Drosophila melanogaster: one gene and its partners. The protein of the gene in region 2 interacts with the protein of the main gene of each other region in a pairwise test. Each region holds a gene or a part of one and is shown on either strand. Other genes may lie near its edges.

Region 1 (4,507 bases), on a different chromosome or scaffold from region 2:
AACCAATTACGAATCATCCGGCGGCCAATGCGGGCATTCAGAAGACCTTCCTCTTTGCGGAGGCCTCCAAGCAGAAGTTGTTAGGATAGCAAGCCATCAGCGGCGCCAGCAGACATCCCCACTGAGCTGCCGCTGAGAAACTTTTTACAAGACGTGTACAAATCAAAATAATAGTTAGTCAGGTGTATAAAACTAGGAAACTGATGAGAAATCAAACAGCAAGACAATAAGCTGATGTTAGAGGAGCGTAGGGACTAAATGTTTTTGTACCTTAAAAAAAAGAAAGATTGATATAAACTGCAAATTGTGCAATAATTAATTTTAGCTGAACTTTGTGCATTGGCCTTCAAAAGGTCGCATTGCATTTGTATTATGTGTTCCAGTAAAACGACAATAACAACCTTAAAGAAAAAAAAAACCCAATGAAAAGCCCCAAAAAAAGAAAAAACTAAAAGAGAATTCTATGAAATGTTACGCCTAGTATAAATATATGAGTGTTTTTATAGTAATTTATTAATGTACAGGTATACAATAAATGTAACAGCTCGGTTGGTTCTTTTGTTAAAACGTTTTTATTTGTTTTATTTCATTATAACGATTTAGCGACTTACATTAGCCTGCTATATACACTAAGAGATTGTACGCATTTAACTCAAAAGTATCTTCCATTAGCTGCAAAGCCCTCACTATAATTATTGTAAATAATGGCTAAAAGCGGATATAGTAACTCATATTTAGTTGATGTTGTATTATGTTAGATGATGTTGTATGTTAGAGTTGGCTTAGCTTTATTTGCCTCTGCACTAAATTGCAGTTCAGCATGTGCTACATGGAATATAGATAGGTGGCCTGCCCCGCGCATCCTACAGGACCAGCGACAGCCACGCGGCCATCAGGCAGAATCCTCCGACGGTCGCGTACGGTTGCAGACGCTTCTCGCCAGTCAAAGCGCGGTAGTACATGCAGCCGCTGAAAAGCATCATGCCCGTAATCATCAAAGTGCCAGTCTGCGGGAGGAAATAAACCAATTACTTTAAGTAACCACAGTCATTTGGGCCTGTTCCAAGCCCCACTGTTCTCGAAATCTATATGAAAAGCTAAGCACGACTATTGTAATTAAACGATTTTAGGATGCAAAGAATTTATAGCATTTAAATGTTTAGTCAGGAATCAAGATATACATATGTAAGAAATTCCAAATTGCAAATAGTTTACCCAAAATTTAAGTCACATTGTTATCTAAATGCATTTACATTTCTTAATCAGAAAACTCTAAAACGGAACAGGCCCTATAGTTTATAGTCTAGGAGTAGAAGTTTGCGAAGATGGCCAGCGTTTTGAGTGCATATTTGGTGTTAGCTTTAGTTGTTAGCTTTAAAACGTCGACAAAACGGAGCTCGATAAAGCCCAGATTTTACTTATTAAATAAGGCTGATGACAACAAATACCAATTACAAGATAACAGCAAAAACGAGAAAATCTATGCCTTTTTGGTACATTTTTAACATACGATTGTAATTATGAAGAGAGTAAATCAACAAATTCCTACCCAAAACCCCGAACCCATATCAGCTATGAACCTGCTCATATCACAAACCTAAGAGTTATCCGAATTAACGCAATTATTATACAAGTATCGTGTGTGGTATTGAAAATTACTTTGTAAGCTGCAATTAGTGGTTGTTGAACATTTAGCTTTAGCTTTGGAAACATTTCATATACAACATAAATATACATATGCATACCTATATTATAAAGAAGTAACTTGGAGAAAGCGCTTGGCTCAAATCAATATTCATTCATAGCTCAATTTTGTAATGTCAATCAGCGCATTAGACTAGCTAAGCAGAGAGTCAATTATTCGAGTATCAATGTTGGAGTTTCGATTCGAGAGTAACGCGAGTTGTTATAAATTCCGTTCAGAGATCTAACTTTACACAGAGTTTATGTAAATGACAAACCAACAAAGAAAGCTTTACAAATAAACCAAATACACGACCGAGATCAATTATGATAAATGGTTTCCTTGGGGTCAGTACAGAGGATGGGCCTGGCGGAGGTAGGACTTAACCAGGCACATCTTCAACGAAATACAAATTTTGACTTTTTCCATTTAAACTTACGAATACGGGATAGTGGGCCAGAGGCATGGCCATCATGGCAAAGGAGTGCAGAAAGTGGATGCGATTGGCCACATCAGCAAAGGCCTGCGAGTCCACCTGCTCCTTGGGATCGCTGACGTCCTTCAGGACGTACTTGCAGTAGGCGCCCATAAAGATGGCCGACGCGCCGACGATCCCGGCCAGCCGAATGAAGTGGTAATGGCAGCCGGCCAGTCGATAGAGTGATCCGTGTGAATGCGCGTAGCTGTGGGCGGCAGGGAGCACCGCCATACTCGTCTCCTGCACCGGCACCTTCTTGGGACGCAGACCCTGCAGGAAGACAGTTAAGAATTATAAATCCGGAACATTGTCTAGGAAAAGTCGATTAGTTACAAGCGTGCGGAGCAGGGCGGATGCGGACGAGGCTACCATCTTGCTGACAGGATTGCCCAGGGTCACGTATTCAATGGTGTCAGCGACTGACATTGTGTATTGTTTGCTCAAACTTTGTTTGGCGATGGAAAATCAGCTGCGGCGCTACTACAAATTTTGACGCAAAATGCCCTGGCCTTGCCGGACTGCCGTTGTATTCGATGTTGCCAATTGTTTGGATTCTAGAAATATGAATGCCTCGGGAACGAGAATTTCTTACCATTTGAAGTGAGAAGAAATGGTGATATAAGCAACAAAACAGAACATATATAGGTACTTTGGAGACTTTTATATCCCTGGTTAAACCTTTCAAATTCAAGCTTTCATTTATTTGCGAAAAACTAAACCAATATAGAGTTAGTTGATGATTATTTTTAATAATTCCGACAAAAGAACTACTTGCAATCCATAACTCAGAAGTCGCTCTTAGTAAAAAATCACAGCTGATAAATTCGCTTCACTTGACAACCCTACCGTTTGACCGGTGCGGATACACTGAAATATCAGTGCTGCTCAATTGGGAAAGCTAAATTTTTTCGCCGGCTGTGCGAATAAAAGCAAGGCAAGTGAGAGAACTGATTTAAACCCCTTATCGGCCGATTCGTGAGCAGGTCGGGGCGATAATAAGAATATAAGAATACATATACATAAGCTGAATAAGCAAAGCAACCACTGACAATTCGATCGCTTTTCAGTCGAATCAGCGCAGTTGAACAATGAAAACTGCAACTCATTGCGCATTTTTAATTATCGCGACTATAGTCGCAATAAGCGGAGCAAAAGGAGTAGAGGGGGAACGCCCCTACAGGCGGAGCTTCATCAATCCGTATCCACGCTACCAGTTCTTTGACGATGGTGTCGATCCCGGGGAGCCCCTGTTCCTGACGCCCCTGATCAACAATGCTTCGATGAGCAAGCAAGAGGTTCAAAAGCTGGCCCGCGTCGTAGGCTCCCAGTTCCATGGCGTTGAGAGCTACTCCGGCTATTTGACCGTGGACCCTGGCTTCAAATCCAACATGTTCTTCTGGTACTTCCCCGCCGAGCAGGAGCCGGAATATGCGCCAGTGGTCCTGTGGCTTCAGGGTGGACCAGGTGCCTCCTCGCTCTTCGGTTTGTTCACAGAGAATGGACCACTAGAGTTGGATGGTCATGGGAAGCTTCAGAAACGCAACTATACCTGGAGCAAGACACACAATCTCATCTACATTGACAATCCCGTGGGCACTGGCTTTAGTTTTACAGAGAACGATGCCGGCTATGCTACGAACGAGAAGGATGTGGGCCGCAATCTGCACGAGGCTGTGATGCAGCTGTACGAACTCTTCGAGTGGAGCAACTCCTCTGGTTTCTGGGTCACCGGCGAGTCCTATGCCGGAAAATACGTTCCCGCCCTGGCTTACCACATCCACAAGGTACAAAATGCCATAGAGACCCGCGTCTATGTGCCGCTCAAGGGCGTGGCCATCGGAAATGGTCTCTCGGATCCGCTGCATCAGCTGAAGTACGGTGACTATCTCTACCAGCTGGGCCTGATCGACGAGCACGGACTGCAGAGTTTCCACGATGCCGAGGCAAAGGGTGCTGAATGCATTAAGAGTCACGACATGGAGTGCGCCTTCGACGTATTTGATTCCCTAATCAACGGGGACCTTACCAATGGCTCACTGTTCAGCAACCTTACTGGATACAACTGGTACTACAACTACTTGAAGACGCATGATGATGATGGCGCCAACTTGGGCGAATTTCTGCAGGCGGGCGCCACTCGGCGGGCAATTCATGTGGGCAATAAGACATTCCATGATCTGGACAAGGAGAACAAGGTGGAACTTCACTTGAAGAAGGATATCATGGACTCGGTGGCCCCGTGGATAGCCGAACTGCTGGCCCACTATACTGTGTGCATCTACAGCGGGCAGCTAGACATTATTGTTGCCTATCCACTGACGCGCAATTATCTCAACCAACTAAAG
Region 2 (6,184 bases):
GAGATAAGGGCCACCCCGGGATGCCTGGAATCCCTGGCCAACCTGGTCCTCAGGGTCCTCCTGGATATCCCGGAGGTTCATATCCACCGTATCCGTATCCTCCACCTCCTCCTCCTCCATCACATGGACATGGAGGCCCTAAAGGCCACCAGAGGCACTACTATAACTACTATGATGAGGACGAGTATGATTACGGCAATGAGCGTTCTTTTGGTCTGAGAAAAACCGAAGAATTCGACGACCAGCCCTTCATTTTGGCCTTTAGTGAACGCAGAAATCCGTTTAGCACAAAAAACAATAAAAGACGAAATTAAAATAACATTATTTAAAACGAAATAGCTTTGATAATTATTTCTGTAGGTAAAAAGCAGATACCCAATACTTAAAAGGAACTTTCAAAATTCTTTTGAAGAATGTCCTTTTTGACTTTTGAGTGGCTTCGTTTATAAATGACACCAAAAATCATACAAAGTGTGGGTTTATCGATTACCTATAAAAATATACCACGCACTCAGCGTTTAAATCGAAACCTCTTTACAAACTGTATATTATTAGACATTTGTTAAGTCGTTTAAAATCTCACATTACATTAGGCAGAAAAGCTGGCTTAAACTATTAGCAAACATCGTCGTCTAGGGCGGTGTGGTCGTCGCCCTCCTCCTCCGCTTCCTCATCCAATCCCGCTTGCGTGGCACCAATCTCCGCGAAATCATCCTCCATGGTATCCACAAAGCTCGACACCCTATCATCGCAGAACAAACAGACATTAGAAACAAATAACAAAGACATTCGTTGGCTGGCATCACTTTTCAAAGTCGCACTGCGGCAGGAGACCCTCCTCCTTCGAGGCGCTGAATCGGAGCAGCGTGCACAGTCTGAGGAGTCCGAGGAGTATCAGGAACATCCCGGCCACATAACTCAGCCACAGATTGTGGGGATACAGGATCAGGCAGATGCCGATGACCGCATAAACAGGAGTGGGTCGCCAACCGCCACAAATCGCTGAAAGTCGCCAGCAGGCCAAGCAGCTGCAGGACCTTCGCTGGTAATTATCCCTGAAACAAATTGAATTCACAAATATGTGAACAGAGAAAAATTTGCAGAGAAAAATCTGAGCAAAGGCACTTGATATAGAGTATTGTATATAATAGTAAAGTATATCATATTATAGTATAATTAGGGTTTAATTAGTTTTACAACTACTAGGCTTGGTAACTAGAATTTCTATATTTCATAAATAATAACTGCTAATTATCAAATAATATATATACGAATAACTATAATTTATGAACATGTTATTTGGTAATCTTGAATAGTTTTCTTACTCTGCGCACTGAAGTTGCAGGAAGATAGTCACAAGCCACTTGATCTCGATAAACATTACCAGCACGGCTGAAAAACTAACCAGAAATTAGTATAGTTATGGGGGATATTTAGATCCGTGACTTACACTATATAAAGACCGGCCCGATAGCCATGCATGTAGACATCAACGCCAACGCCGCAGATAACTGAAATGAAAAATGGCTAAAGAAAGGTTCGGTGCGGGGGGTCCTTTTTGGCGGGTTGAAACGAGGAGTGTTATCCTTGAACGAGCCTATAAAATAATGTGAGTGTGTCTAGGCAAATATATTTATAAGCATATTTATTGAGCTGGGCCTTTTTTGTTTACCATGCTTTGGCCATAAAATGTAATACAAAACCAATGAATGGAAACGAGGTGAGCTCAAGAAGTTTATCGCAATTTTACTGAAGCTTACATCATTTGCAATAGAGTATTTTAAGAAGGCAATGTCCTACACATTACGAAATAACATAATGATAATTAATAATAAATAGCTTGGAAGAAACTTCAATATTCATGACGAACTTAAATTTTATAACTTAAAAGGTTTCTATATTTTTGTCGAACAGCCCTCCGCAGGGCATTCATATTCTAACCACATTATGGTTCCGCTTCACATTTTGTCTTAGCCAAATCCACTTTGAGTGTATAAGATATGGTTAGATGTGGTTATGGAGCCACCACGCCCAGTGGTCCATAAAAATACAATCTAATTAAGTTGTTTTTATTATGCCGGGTCGCGAAAAACCAATCAGATTAGCCAGTTAGATATATGTATATGTATGCCCCATATTTAAGCACAACTGCAGAACCGAAACCAAACCAATTACATTAAATGCTGTCAACGGAGATAAAAATTGAAAAAGCGGAAATCGAAAAAACATGCAAAAATTATCTGGATAATTGAAAGCGGTGGGGGAAAAATAGATGCCGGGCAAGAGGAAAACTTGGCGAATGGCTGGCGCCTAAAGGCTAACAACACAGCTCATTGTCGACCGTATGGAAAAGTTGCTGATAAGGGGAAAATCGGGCTGGGAAAACTCTGCTCTTGGCACAGGATGCCAGTCGTGAGCTGCAAGCTGCAAGCTGCATAGAGGCCAATGCCTTGTTAATGGCTCTGCCAGAGAGTTTCCTTGGAAAACCCCATCCCTCTTACCCGATCCCTATAATGCGGAGCTTATGAACTACAGAGATTTTATACTTTGTTTTCCTGCGTGCCACTGCACCCATGATGGACCCCAAAACAATTTGCAAAGAAATTAGTTTGAACTTGACCCGAAGTTTTTGTTGGCCTGCCTGCAGCTGGGCGATTTATCAAATTCTGTATAAAAAAACGGCGGTGCACTATCTTAAGCGCATTAGGAAAATGTCAGATGGTGGAGGAAAATCGTTATGATTGGCCACGATAAGCGTTTAAGCCAACTTTGATAACTTCACCAGATGGCAGAAAAATTGGGATGAAAAAATGTGATTGCATTTTCGTAGATTAGAATGCGGATACAGGGTGAAAAAGTTACGTTGTGCAACCAAACTGAATTCATTTCAGAAAGGTAATATTATTATTTATTAAGTTTTTGCTTCACTTTACCTTGCCTGTTTAATAAATTAAATTTGACTTCGTAAATTGACAAACGAAATGCCATTAAATTTCAGGCTGTCAATCTAAAATTATTGCCTCAATTTAAACGGAAAAAATGTAACACAAAGCTGGGTTGTACAAAAAAAGCATAATTGAATTGTAATTAAATGACGCAAAAAAAGGGAAATTAATCTTCTACCAATTTACTCTCTGTGTTCTATTTAATTGTTAAGCTAAACTGGAATTTCAGTAGTATTGGATGGCATTTATTTATTTTACCAAATTACATTAGGTCAAATATCCTGTTCATTAGAGCACATATTCTGTGCTATATGTGCTCTGTGAATATGGAAAACCATTTCCTTTTATGTACATTTATTTTGCCAGTCTTCTCAAACAAATGCAAAACCTTTGTGTACAATGAAAATATTGCTCAAAGAGTAATATTATATGAATTGAAAGGAACAATAAAAGCAGCCAATAAGAGCGTGTCCCCATTCAGCATCGTCTTCGTCTTGCGAATCCCATTCAGTGCCAAGAAATATAATAAGCCACAGCACTCAACATATCCCGAGGCAATGGTTCCCATGCACAAGTATTTCCTACGATTTGTCAAGGGTAAACATTCCAAATAAGGGCCAGAAAAGCATTGCACATTCATACATAAATGCATGCACATGCACATGCATCATAGCCTCGTATCGAGATTGGCATTATCTCGAAACGGGGGTCACCTGGGCACCGGCACCGACAAGTCTTATTCCACTGGCTCGGATTTCCGCGCACTTGAGCTTACCGAATGAAGTCAGCAGACCAAAAACCCTTATCACAGGACGAAGGCACTCGCACGGCTCTGCGGACTGATTGCGGCGATGATGACGGGCGCGGCGAACGCGCTGCGATTGCAGTTGCATCTGGCTCATGGCTGACTTGGTTATATATATATATATATAGATATTTACTTTATGAATTTCTATCTATATTTGTTTTATGAATCGCCAAAAGTGCGGCTTTATTCTTAATATCTTATTTATTGGAGCTCAAGTTTTTCTTCTCCTTCGTTATTACTGATGACAAAAGTCGAAGCCATAGCATTTAAATTTTTGATTAATGTGTAAGCTCCACTTACTTAATTTCCAATTTATTTAATATATTTATTCGTTTTTAATTTCACTTTAGAACAATTTTAGTTTTTGGTTAAATTCAAATTTTCAATGTACTACTTTCTAATCCTCCATAACTTTAAATACTCTCATCCGAAACTGACGTTTTAGGTCCTGTCCAAGGGAATCGCTAATAAAACAATCAAAGAGCCGTATCCACATCACAAAAATGCACTACGTGCCTGGCATACTAAGTGGCCAAACAACTTTGCGATAAATATTTTCAATTCCAGCTCGCACAGCTTTTAAATTTCACCATTTAACTCGGGCACACACTGCGTATTCGTAATGTGACATTTTTCGCACCTCTCCTTCCATTGCCTTTAATCACCGCACCGTTTGCTTGTGTGTGTGTGTGTGTGTGTGTGTGGCAACTAATGTCTGCAAATTACCGTTACCATTTGCACTTTGCCCCCGCACGTTGTGTGCCCTCTATAATATATATTTTTTTTATTAAATATTTTTCTTATTGTTGTTGAAGGTTTGTAACTTTTTTTATTTTTGTCAAGTGCCACTTTGCCACACGACTTTATGGCCGAGCTCTAAACAACGAACGTCCGCACGCTTCCAGCGGCGCCAGCAGAATGAAACTGAATGAAAGGACCGGCCAGGATTCGTTTCTATTTTCGGAGTCAGGATCCAGAGTCGCCGCTCAGGCTGCTTTTCCCATTGCTTTTCCTACTGCCACTGACTTTGTAGCCAAATACCAGCCAATGGGGCGGCGCTGCATTCGAAACTGCTAAGTTGATTTGTTACGAGAACGAACGCGTAGTGTTTATTTCTTTTTAAATGCGTTTTTGCGATTTAATGCTGAGATTTATGGAGACCGCAAAATTTATCCATGTTGTTTTAAAGATGTTTTTAATTGGTTAGCTGTTTTTGACATCCACTATCATTTGTATTTGAAAACTTATTTGGCGTTGGCAGTATGAGAATTCTTTAAAACTATGCTCTTGAAATATATTAATTGAAAGCAAGAATATAGGGCTGATTTTTAACTAGAATAATGCTTTAATTTCAATCAGAAGTTATTTAACTTGGTTTTTTTTTAGTATTGTAGTAGGAATACAATTTTTGAATTACATTGTTAATATAATTAAGGAACTCAAATAAATAATTAATTTTCTTTTTGTCTTCAGTATTTTAATTAGAACTGTTTGTATGTTTTATCTCTTTTTTTTTGTAAAAAGTGTTTCCTCTCGCGATTTATTGTGTAGCGTAGCGCATTGGGTCAGTCTTTATAGTCCTGCGGTTTTTTACAAGAAGGCACCATGGGCGAGAGCTTAATATTGTGTGTGATTTAAATATATTCCCACCCGAATGCTTACTTGATTACGATTTTTCCAAATGTAAAAGAAGAGGGAAGTATGAAATTTACCTACGATTTTACACAACGAAAATCTTACTTATATGCACTTGATAAATATTCTACCAGGTGTAAAGATAATCTTTAACTATTACAAATATTGAAGTTTTAAGCCTAAAACAGGATTCTCGGCCCACTGCTCAAAGCCAGCTTGATTTTATTTGTCACGTTGTCCTGTGTGTGAAGCCAGTGCCTCATGTTGTTGCCACTGCTCAAGCGGCTCTGTGTGTGCGTGCCCTCGTCCTGCAGGTCCTGTGGATCCCCGCACCCGTCTTTGGCCACGTTTCAGTAATTTTCATAACTGGCTGAATGGTGAGCGGAGCGGCGGGAGGTGTAAAGAAGCTCAAAAGACAACCAGGAGCAAAGCTGAGCAATTGCCAAGAGGCGGACGAGTACGCAGAATGTGGACAAAAACATTTTCGGTTGCTACACCGCCCTCATCCTCATAAATTAAATGGGGGCCAAATTCAGGAGAGGGGAAGCACGAGTAAATATTTTTTTAGCTCCTCCGCTTATTGTCCTGTGCATTTGCTAAGGTGTCTGTCGTCAGGCTTGTTTGCATTATGCGGCGTTAATGACATCCAAAGTGGCAGCCGTCGCCCCAAGGAAAGTCTCCACTGTCGCCGCCATCTACGACATAATTCACAGATGCCCCACACTCTGAAAAGTTAATTTCCTTAAGGAACAGCTCGAGGATTCTAGCGAAATACTTCTGAAGGTCGTCCTTGATA
Region 3 (3,973 bases), on a different chromosome or scaffold from region 2:
CTCCATCATCTTGGCGCGTTGCGCATGCGCATCTGGAATGATCGATTCAATTATGATGCATTTGCTGATCAATATTTGGGAACTAGTTGAACAGAAAGGCATTGCATTTGAAAAATATTTAGTAAGCGCTTCAAATTAAGTACACGGGATTAACACATAAATATGACATCTTTTTAATGACACTTAAATACAAACATAGATGTATGTACATATATATGTATGTGCGACTATATTGTGTCACATTCAATTCATATAGTTCACATTTATATTATATATATCTATATATATCCTTTAGTTGATGTTCCGCTACAAAGAAAAGTTCTAACTAAATTTAAAACCTAACTATCAGTTAATCGATGGTCAAATATCGATAGAAAATCTAGAAATGAAATCAAATTTGCATATACATATGTGTGTATGTATGTATGTATATATCCTCTAATAAAAACACAATGCATATTAGATATTAGATTAGATCTGAAACCAGCTTAAGCCAATTGAAAATCAAAGGCGCATCACAAGTGGGCATAACAACGTTTATTGCAAATATACAAAATGCTACTAATTATGCTAGAATTTTAAAAATAAGTACGCACAGTATTTGGATGGCAGTACGTGTAGTAGATTATTAACAGAACAATTCCGACAATATACAAGGCAATGATGGCTGTGGCAAGATACAAGGGAATGTACAAAGCGCAGGCGATGATATTTTGCAACAAACAGAATGTGAGATAGAAGGCGTACTTATATTTGGTTGGTGCATCCTTGACGGGCGTAAAAATAAATAGATAGACAACGCCAAAGCACAGGCAGTACGAATAGTTCATGGGGCGGGATTTTGCGATCATTGGCGAGTCCACAAAGAACACAATGGTGCCGTAAAAGCAAGCCAGTGTCGCGCAGATGATCAGCGTTTCGATGGGAAAAATACTGGCCACATACGCGATGCAAAGCGTTCTCGAAACTACGAAATAAAAGCGAATAACTAAAAGCTTAATATACACATTCTAAGCAACACAGCTAACTAACTACTACTAACCAGTGAGGCAGAGCAGGAAGAGAAATTGCAGAAATCGTCCCTTCGCCGCAATATCATGTTTGTCCAGTTGGGCCAGGCGATTGGAGTGATTGTACGCCTGGATGCACCACGCTATGTTGCCGAAGTAGACGATCAGGGCGATGTGGCGGTAGTCTGGGAAAAGAAATTTGAATGGGTAAATGGCATCCATCGACTTTCCATTCCGAGTTTCACTTTCGTTGGCTACAATCAATGAGTTAGGCTAAACGCCTAAACTGACTTTGATTTGCGAAAGTGAACGTCAGAATTTGGTGTTTATAAGCTTAAATTACTTATGCATTAGTTATCTTAATTAAGGCAGAGAGAGAGAGAGATTGAAATATGGCACTAATGTAGTATTAATATCGTATTACATGTGAACTCCAATGTCGATTGCAAAAGAATTGCCAGCTGTAGTATTTTCTGCGGTGCTGATTCCAAAAACGAGTCGAATAGACGAACGAAACTAACATTGCACTCCTCCGTCATGAGTTTTTGGTAATATCTGTAAGATAAGAATTCAGATATTCGTTATAAACATTCTAAAGTGCTCACTTATGATGAAAAGAGAAGATAAACTAAACGGCAGTACTACCATTTAGGGCATTAAGCTACTATTAACTAGTTTTATACACTGACACTAGCATTACTCACTCGATCTCCGCCTGCTTGTCATCCCGCTCCTTGGCCAACGAGTATTTGAACGCATAGTTTAGGACATAGACATCGCGGAAGAGATATGAGATCACAGCATTTGAGTACACCCCTCGCTCCAGGATGCGTTTTTCGCCGGCATGAGCGCTCTTCAAGCTGAAATTCAAATACAAATTTATCGTTTAGCTGTAGATTTCGGGGGAAGTACACGCTATCGCGATATGTCACATACGTATGTATATATATGACCGATGTGACCACCATGGGCACCAGAATGGAGCCAATGGTCCAGGCGCAGTATCCGTAGGACTCCTCCATCCAGTACACGTACGCCAGGCTCCAGTTGATGCAAATCGAGACGAAGCGCCACAGAATGGACACCACAGTGAGCAGCATGCTTAGTTTCGAGATCGGCCCCATCATAAGGGCGTCCACTTCGGTTCTTTGCTCCGCGGAGGCCATGTCTCCTCCGCCTCCTTATTGCACATGTGCCACCCTAGCCACACACAAATATCCAAGGCCTCGACCTCCAAACTACTCTCGCCTTCAACTTGCTGACACTGGTTTTCGACTAAAAAAAAAAACAAAACACTGAAGATTAGAATAAAGACTGAATTCTACGAGAACTTGTTCATTTGAACTAGAGATAGATCGATCGTACGCTTTTATCGGCGGAAAGCCGATAGTGAGCTGTTGCATCGAAAGCGTCATCGACGAAGTGCCATCTCTAGCCGACGGGTGGGATAGAATCTCCAATTGGGATTTCCATCCAGTGATTTCCTAATTAAATTAATTTTTTCCAATTGCCCAAAGGCATAGGCATATTTCGCAAAACGAACAAATATGTTTGCTTGAAGCGCATAGAATCACAAACAAAAGTGCAAATCTCAGAGCTTAAAAACCAGAGCAAAGGAGAATAACGGAAGAGGAGGCAAGCAAAAAGACAAAGAGGAGTGCAAAAAATACAGCAAACATCATGCACAGGACATATGTAAGCCATGCGATATACGCCATTTGGCTGGTTATATTCGCCACTGCCGGCATAATGGCCCAGCTAGACCTGGATCAGATCCAGACCCAGCTGCCCGACCAGCTGAGGAAGTCAAACTTTAGCGTGAACGACGCCAAGGAGCTATTTCGCAACAAATGCATCGAGGTGGCCGGCGAGGAGGCGGGCGTCGAGGCATACGGCGAGATCGAGTCCGGATTCATGGTGCTAACCGAGTGCCTCAATGGCATTGTCAACTACACGGCAATGCAGCAGGAGATACAGGAAGCGTCGCCCAAGGGCGAACTGGATGTGGTCTTCAACAAGTACTGCAGCCGGCGTTCGAATGCCGTCGAGTGTGTGGATGCGTTCACGGCCAAACTGGTGCCCTGTCTGGTGCAGGAGGAGCGCGAGGGCCAGGATGTCATTAAGCAGATCATCCAGAGTCTGCTCAACTTTGTGTGCCACAAGGATGGCGATCAGATAGCCCTGTTCATTGCCGAAAAGGGACCCGAATGCATTGAGTCCCAGAAGGACAACATTCAGCAGTGCGTGAACAGCACGTTCTCCGAGTACCTGAACGTGTCGGATCTGCAGGACAACCGCATCAGGAGCATGCCCAAGCTGACGGTCGGTCAGAAACAGTGCGACGAGATGCTGACTCTGCAGGCGTGTGTGGTCCGTAAACTGGAGCAATGCTCGGACATAACACCGGCGAATCTCGTCGAGTCCATGTTCAACTTCATTCGGAACCAAACGATGTGCCGTGACAATCAGAAATCGCCGCTCGTTGCGGCTGCCGCCAGCGGAGGGAGTCGGGTATTCCATCAAGTGTGGACCCATGTGGGCATCTTTTTGCTAATCCTGCGATTCGCTCTACAAAAGTCTTCTTAGTTCTAAGTCTGGGCGTCCGCTATATATCTCGAATCCGAATCTGTAAAACGCCTTCTCAACGCTTTGACTTTGGCATTCCAAAGCGATTAATCAAAGAGCACGATAATCACTGTTTTTAAGCTTTTGCTTCGCTTATATTAATATGCATGTAGCCGTGGAACAGGTGTCCATAGTTCAACCGCTTTCGGGGATAAGCATGCCAAGGTGCTGCTGCTCCAGGCTAGCCAGCCATATCGTTTTTGTTTGGTGCTTCTAATTTATGTAATTAATTGCCAATTGATGTATGTATGTATGTAGTATTGTAAACAATGCTTATACTTCCTTCTAGTTTTACTTCTGAATCAGAAATTCTTCTGGCCTTTGTCATGCGTTTATCT
Region 4 (5,059 bases), on a different chromosome or scaffold from region 2:
CAAACAAAAGTACCAGCTGACAGAAAAGGGCACCAGCAGCTTGGCCGACGACACAAGGTACATAACTAGAATCACAATTAATCATCTCCAGGTGTTCAGGTGGCTAATTGAACTGTTTCCCTATAGAGTTTACCAGTCCGTGGGTCGCATGTTCCTGCTTACCGATGTACAGAATATGCGCGAGGACCTGAAGGCTAGGCAGGAGAAATGCGACAAAGCGATAGAACTGCTGGAGAAGAAGAAGGAGTTCTTGCAGAAGTCCCTTAAGAGCCAGGAAGACGGTCTGCGCGAGTTGGTGCAGCAGCGCAAGGAAGCCGATCAGACTGCGAAATAGACTACAACTCCAAACTGGCATTTATCCCTCAACGCAATTGCTTATTTATTTTCAATATACTCGTCTAAATTGAAGTTGGCGTAGCTGACAAACTTGTTGCCCAGATTGCGTTCGTGTTCCGGGCGGAAGCTGCACTTGAGGACGGGCAGGCGAGCGGTTAGCCAGGGCTCCACCACCTCACCGGAGCACAGGATTACCTTGCTCTCCTTCTGGTTTCGTTGCAGCCTAGTGATTATTTCACACGTTTTGGCGATGCACTCCTGGGACAGGAAGGGCGGGTCGGCCACGATGAGGTCATATTGCTGGTGGTGCTCTTTGAGGTAGTCCGGGTTGCTCCCTACGCAGTTCAAGTCGTAGTGCACAAAATCTGTGCCATAGGCCTCGAAACGCTTGTCGAACTCGAATATGTGCACTACAAGATAGAATGATGACAATTCATTCATAATCGTTTCACATGTCCACTTACCTGTGTCATGTATCTCCCTGATGTCCTTGTAGAGCGATGGGCAGGAGAGCAGTGCTATACTAAAGTCACCCGAATCCTCCGTGCGCTCCGCCAGAAGCTTACGCACAACATCACGCAATGCGTGCTTGGTTTCCGTGCTGTACCAGAACTGACTCAATTGCTGCAAGCGAAGAGAGTTTCACCATAAGTTTCTAAGGTATGTGCAGGTGCTCTTGCCCAATCCTCCTCGAACTGGGCATCCTTGCCGGTCTTGTTGGCGATTTGATTCTCCTCCTCGGCTTCGCGTTTTGATCTCTCCAACAGAAATTCGTTTAAAATGGCCAAAGTGTCGGCGGGCAGCGAGATGTCGTCGTCCATAATTAATTATTTGCCACTAAATGAATCTTAGAGCATTCAAATCAAAATAAACCAAAATGTGCGTTTGAAGATTAGAGGTGCGAAATTAGCGATACAAATGAGAACTTATTGGGGGGATTCCAGGCCTTGGCGCTGTTTTCAAATTGTAAATTATTAGAAACTTAGGCCAACTGCGATATTGAAATTATACTTTCAAAATAATATGCACTTTAACCGTATGCAAATCGATTACCAATTTTAATTTATTTTAAGTTATTTTATTAATACAACTAGCTCCAGAAACCTGTATCGTAACTTTTATTTGACAACACATTTTCAAACTGTACTGAATATTTAGGCGTTTAATCGACAACTAAAACAGCAACTTTCAAGTACGTGGTCTTTAAATTTCGTAAGATCGAGAAAGCAGTGCGATACAAATCGGTGGCAGCCCTGTGTCAGTTCGTTTTTATCGAACTAGATCAACTTTGCCCGTCCATCTCTAGTTCGCACGGGAGCCCCGACCAAACTGATACGTATTAATTTACGAGAAAAACTTGCGTTTAATTCGAAGTCACATCATATCGCAGGCTGGAACGTACCTGCTGCTAAGTAAGAGGTAAGTGAATGGCCAACGTGAATTAGGAAAAATCAGTGCCTTGCCGGAAACGAAATCCATGTGATTAAAGGCTAACTTTCTTCGCTTGACGTCGTTCCCAAATCGGATAAAAGTGTGCTGCTGGCCCAGTAATTACACTGGTGAATTATGCAGGTCGGCATTTGGACTCGCTCCGCGACTTCCGTGCGGGGGAGGAAGCATCCAATCCCCAAGCGCAACCGTTTCGAATTTCTACAGCGCGGCGCGAAGAGCCCTGCACTTTGATTTCGTTGCCGTTCATTGTGGAGTTCAGTCGGGTCAATCAGCCTCAATTTGCGAGACTTACCTTCTGAATCTCTGACGTGTACCTACCAACCAAACTGTCCACTATGTGACATCATATAATTGGGCTTCCGACTCCGGACTATTGCATGAATAATGTGCGCGCGGGTTGACAGGTGCTACCTTAAATTGACTAGGTGACCCACTTCCGTTGAAGGACCCTCCGTCCACAGATCCCAATCGATACGGCTGCCCCACTGCCAGTCTCATTACTCGACATGTAAATCGAAAGTACACGTAGGATGGACCCCCTCGGTTGGGTTTACTTAATCGCTCAGACCAGCCCACTCCCCCTCCCATGTTTCACCTGTTGCCACCTGTTTGTGTTTCAATATTTTGACGTGTATTTCGTAACAACATGCACATTGTGCGCTGTCTTGCAGTTTTCTCTTCGAGCTTCGTAACGAAATCTTTGCGTTTAGTGCGCTAGGCATCATAAACCGCATACTCGAGAAATATAATTGCCAAACCGTAAGAGTACATGATACTTTAGCGATGGCTTGGCTGTTTTCTTTTTTTGGTTGCCTCATGCAAAGCACTGTCCGTAATGGTGGGCAAGTCATCTTGGCTAAAGCGAACATTAACACGACTTTTGGGCCAGCCCGTTCTCGTTTTAAGTGCGTTTGCCAGCCACTTTCCATTTGACTGGTTTAACAGTTGGCCCTGACTTTCAATTAAGACGTAAAGCGCTTGGCACTGAGAAGCGTAGTGCAGTCTAATCCTGGAGTCATAGAGGGCAGATCTTGCGGGCTATTCATTAGGTTGGAACCCTCACACATCAGATAGCGCCGCAGTTACTTAGCCAAGGTTCTCTTATCGCTGCCTATGCCTAAGATAGCAGCCAAATTCCCGCCGATAAGGCCGAAAGTAGAAACCTTATACTGATTTTCATAACTGCCTTGCAGACTGAATACTGAACGGAAAGCGAGCACGAAAGCTACTTCATCATGAGCGCACCCACCGACCAACCACCGCGCTCCGAGGGCGCTCAGACCAACAGCTCCGAGAGATCCTCACAGCAGCAGGAGCAACCGCAGCAATCTCAATCACAGAACGTACCGGCCAAGCTCCTGCAGCATTTTCAGACAAATCGCATAGATTCCGCGCTATGGGCACTACGTCTGCTGGTCATCTTCTTCACCGTCAGCTACGTGCTGCCCATCTTTACGTGAGTACACGCGTTTTCCACATTGACCTACTCTAATTTTCACTTACTTCTCCACAGCTCACAACAGAGCGCATTCAGCAAGGTTATGCTGGCTAATGCCGCCATCTCTGCCTTGCGTTTGCACCAGAGATTGCCCGCGTTCGCGTTCAGTCGGGAGTTCCTTGCTCGACTGTTTGCCGAGGACTCGTGTCATTACATGATGTACTCCCTGATCTTCTTCAACATCCGCCCATCGCTGCTGGTTCTGATTCCCGTGCTGCTGTACTCAGTTCTGCACGCCTCAAGCTACTCGCTTAAGCTGCTGGATGTAAGGAAAGCAATATTTCACATTTGGCACTTGTCTAATAAGAAATGTACTTACAGCTGATTGGCCAGAACTCGTGGTGGGGTGCCCGTTTCATCATCTCCATTGTAGAGTTTCAGGCGGCGAATATCCTGAAGGCAACTGCATTCTGCGAGATCTTCATCATGCCTTACGCCATTGTGCTGGCCTTCATGTGAGTTTTAACACATATCTTTCGAGGGGAATGCACTCCAATGCAGAATACTTTCAATTTTAGGAACCACGCTGGATTGATGACGCCCGTTATTTACTACCACTATCTGGTGATGCGCTACAGCTCGCGACGAAATCCCTATCCGCGCAACGCTTTCGCTGAGCTGCGTATAACCTTCGAGGCGCTGGCCGCCCGCTCACCGCCCGCCTTTGCCAAGATCATCCGTGGAGGCATTGGGTTCGTCAACCGCTTGGCGCCGCAGCTACAGCCGGCTGCAGCGCAAGAGTAGACACGACAAGCAGCTAACGGAAAACAACAATCAAATGACATATGAATAAGGCTATTTAAATACCAGTTCACTTGCATAGATGTTCACACAGGAGATTGGGGTTCATCCGTTTTATTTGTTAGCCGAAATTCGTTGCACCTTTTCGAAGCGAAACTAGTTGTTTTACACCAGATTGTTTCGGCATTTAAGTTTAAATTTATCTATATATTATTGTAGTTTTTTTTGAGTACATCATCATGCTTTTTTCAACAACACACAATGTGGCAACGCACGAATTCCGCCATGGAGGATCAACGGCGCGTATTACTATATTTATATCCCAAAAACAAATTATTTCAATTTGTTTTGCTTTAACTTATATGTTCAAAATACTGATCAAACGAAAAACATGGACAGCTAACGCTGTTAGTAATTATTTACATATATTTTGTATGAGTGTGTAAAGATTCGAAGAACCAAACAAAGTAAAGTAAAGTTAAATAAAACATTTTGAGAAGGTACTAGAATTTGGACTACAATTTTTTCTGGTTGATTGGCTTTAAATCTTCTGCTACTGTATTAAGTGGTTTGCACTTAACTTGTTTCTTCTCAAGCCAATTAAAAAATGATATCAATCGTAATAATTTTCGTATCATCCTTAAAGTATGCAATACCTTAATTTCTCCACTTTTGGTCAGCGGGCTCAAACAGGTGAATGGAAGCGTTCCCCAACATACTCCAGATCAGGATCACTAGTCGATTTGGCCATGTTCCAGTCGGACACGAATAGTAGCAATCTAAGCACTTTTGTACAGCGCCGAAGCATCAACCCACAACGAAACTAATGAAATGATTTCTGGGTGTGAGGCTAGGGCGTTGGTAGCTTGTCGTTGGCTCTGGACTTCTTCCGAATTTCCACCAAGTTCAATGAACTTCTTGCGCAGCGCCAAAAAAAAAAAATGTTCGTCCAAATGAGGGTGAAGGCACCCGAGCTTTGTTGTGTTGTGTAGGTGAAACGACTCACTTTCGTTCTCAGTGCCGGGAAAACTT

What was found.
Region 1: the proteins of CG14086 (region 2) and CG4686 interact in a two-hybrid assay, tested with the Drosophila melanogaster proteins (one large-scale study listed by BioGRID).
Region 3: the proteins of CG14086 (region 2) and CG32579 interact in a two-hybrid assay, tested with the Drosophila melanogaster proteins (one large-scale study listed by BioGRID).
Region 4: the proteins of CG14086 (region 2) and Kr-h2 interact in a two-hybrid assay, tested with the Drosophila melanogaster proteins (one large-scale study listed by BioGRID).

Annotation. Positions count from the first base shown.
Region 1 is NT_033777.3:19,862,914-19,867,420, reverse strand, and holds CG4686 (uncharacterized protein), read right to left. Parts: upstream 2,926-4,507; 5' UTR 2,589-2,925; coding exon 2,496-2,588; intron 2,433-2,495; coding exon 2,124-2,432; intron 2,005-2,123; exon of another isoform or gene 1,008-2,004; coding exon 864-1,007; 3' UTR 552-863; downstream 1-551. Other genes in the region: CG4572 (uncharacterized protein), read left to right, coding at 3,251-4,507.
Region 2 is NT_037436.4:19,274,256-19,280,439, reverse strand, and holds CG14086 (uncharacterized protein), read right to left. Parts: upstream 4,650-6,184; 5' UTR 3,848-4,649; coding exon 3,721-3,847; intron 1,512-3,720; coding exon 1,451-1,511; intron 1,401-1,450; coding exon 1,326-1,400; intron 1,056-1,325; coding exon 807-1,055; intron 743-806; coding exon 616-742; 3' UTR 521-615; downstream 1-520. Other genes in the region: CG14089 (uncharacterized protein), read left to right, coding at 1-314.
Region 3 is NC_004354.4:16,321,671-16,325,643, reverse strand, and holds CG32579 (uncharacterized protein), read right to left. Parts: upstream 2,359-3,973; 5' UTR 2,177-2,358; coding exon 1,947-2,176; intron 1,871-1,946; coding exon 1,715-1,870; intron 1,566-1,714; coding exon 1,435-1,565; intron 1,196-1,434; coding exon 1,043-1,195; intron 989-1,042; coding exon 579-988; 3' UTR 524-578; downstream 1-523. Other genes in the region: CG9917 (uncharacterized protein), read left to right, coding at 2,691-3,596.
Region 4 is NT_033779.5:6,069,433-6,074,491, forward strand, and holds Kr-h2 (kruppel homolog 2), read left to right. Parts: upstream 1-1,557; 5' UTR 1,558-1,755; intron 1,756-2,780; exon of another isoform or gene 2,781-2,981; 5' UTR 2,982-3,023; coding exon 3,024-3,244; intron 3,245-3,301; coding exon 3,302-3,551; intron 3,552-3,607; coding exon 3,608-3,741; intron 3,742-3,804; coding exon 3,805-4,030; 3' UTR 4,031-4,529; downstream 4,530-5,059. Other genes in the region: Pfdn1 (prefoldin 1), read left to right, coding at 1-57, 127-334; CG9154 (uncharacterized protein), read right to left, coding at 376-746, 801-960, 1,017-1,157. UniProt on the Drosophila melanogaster protein: Member of the dosage-dependent hierarchy effective upon white gene expression.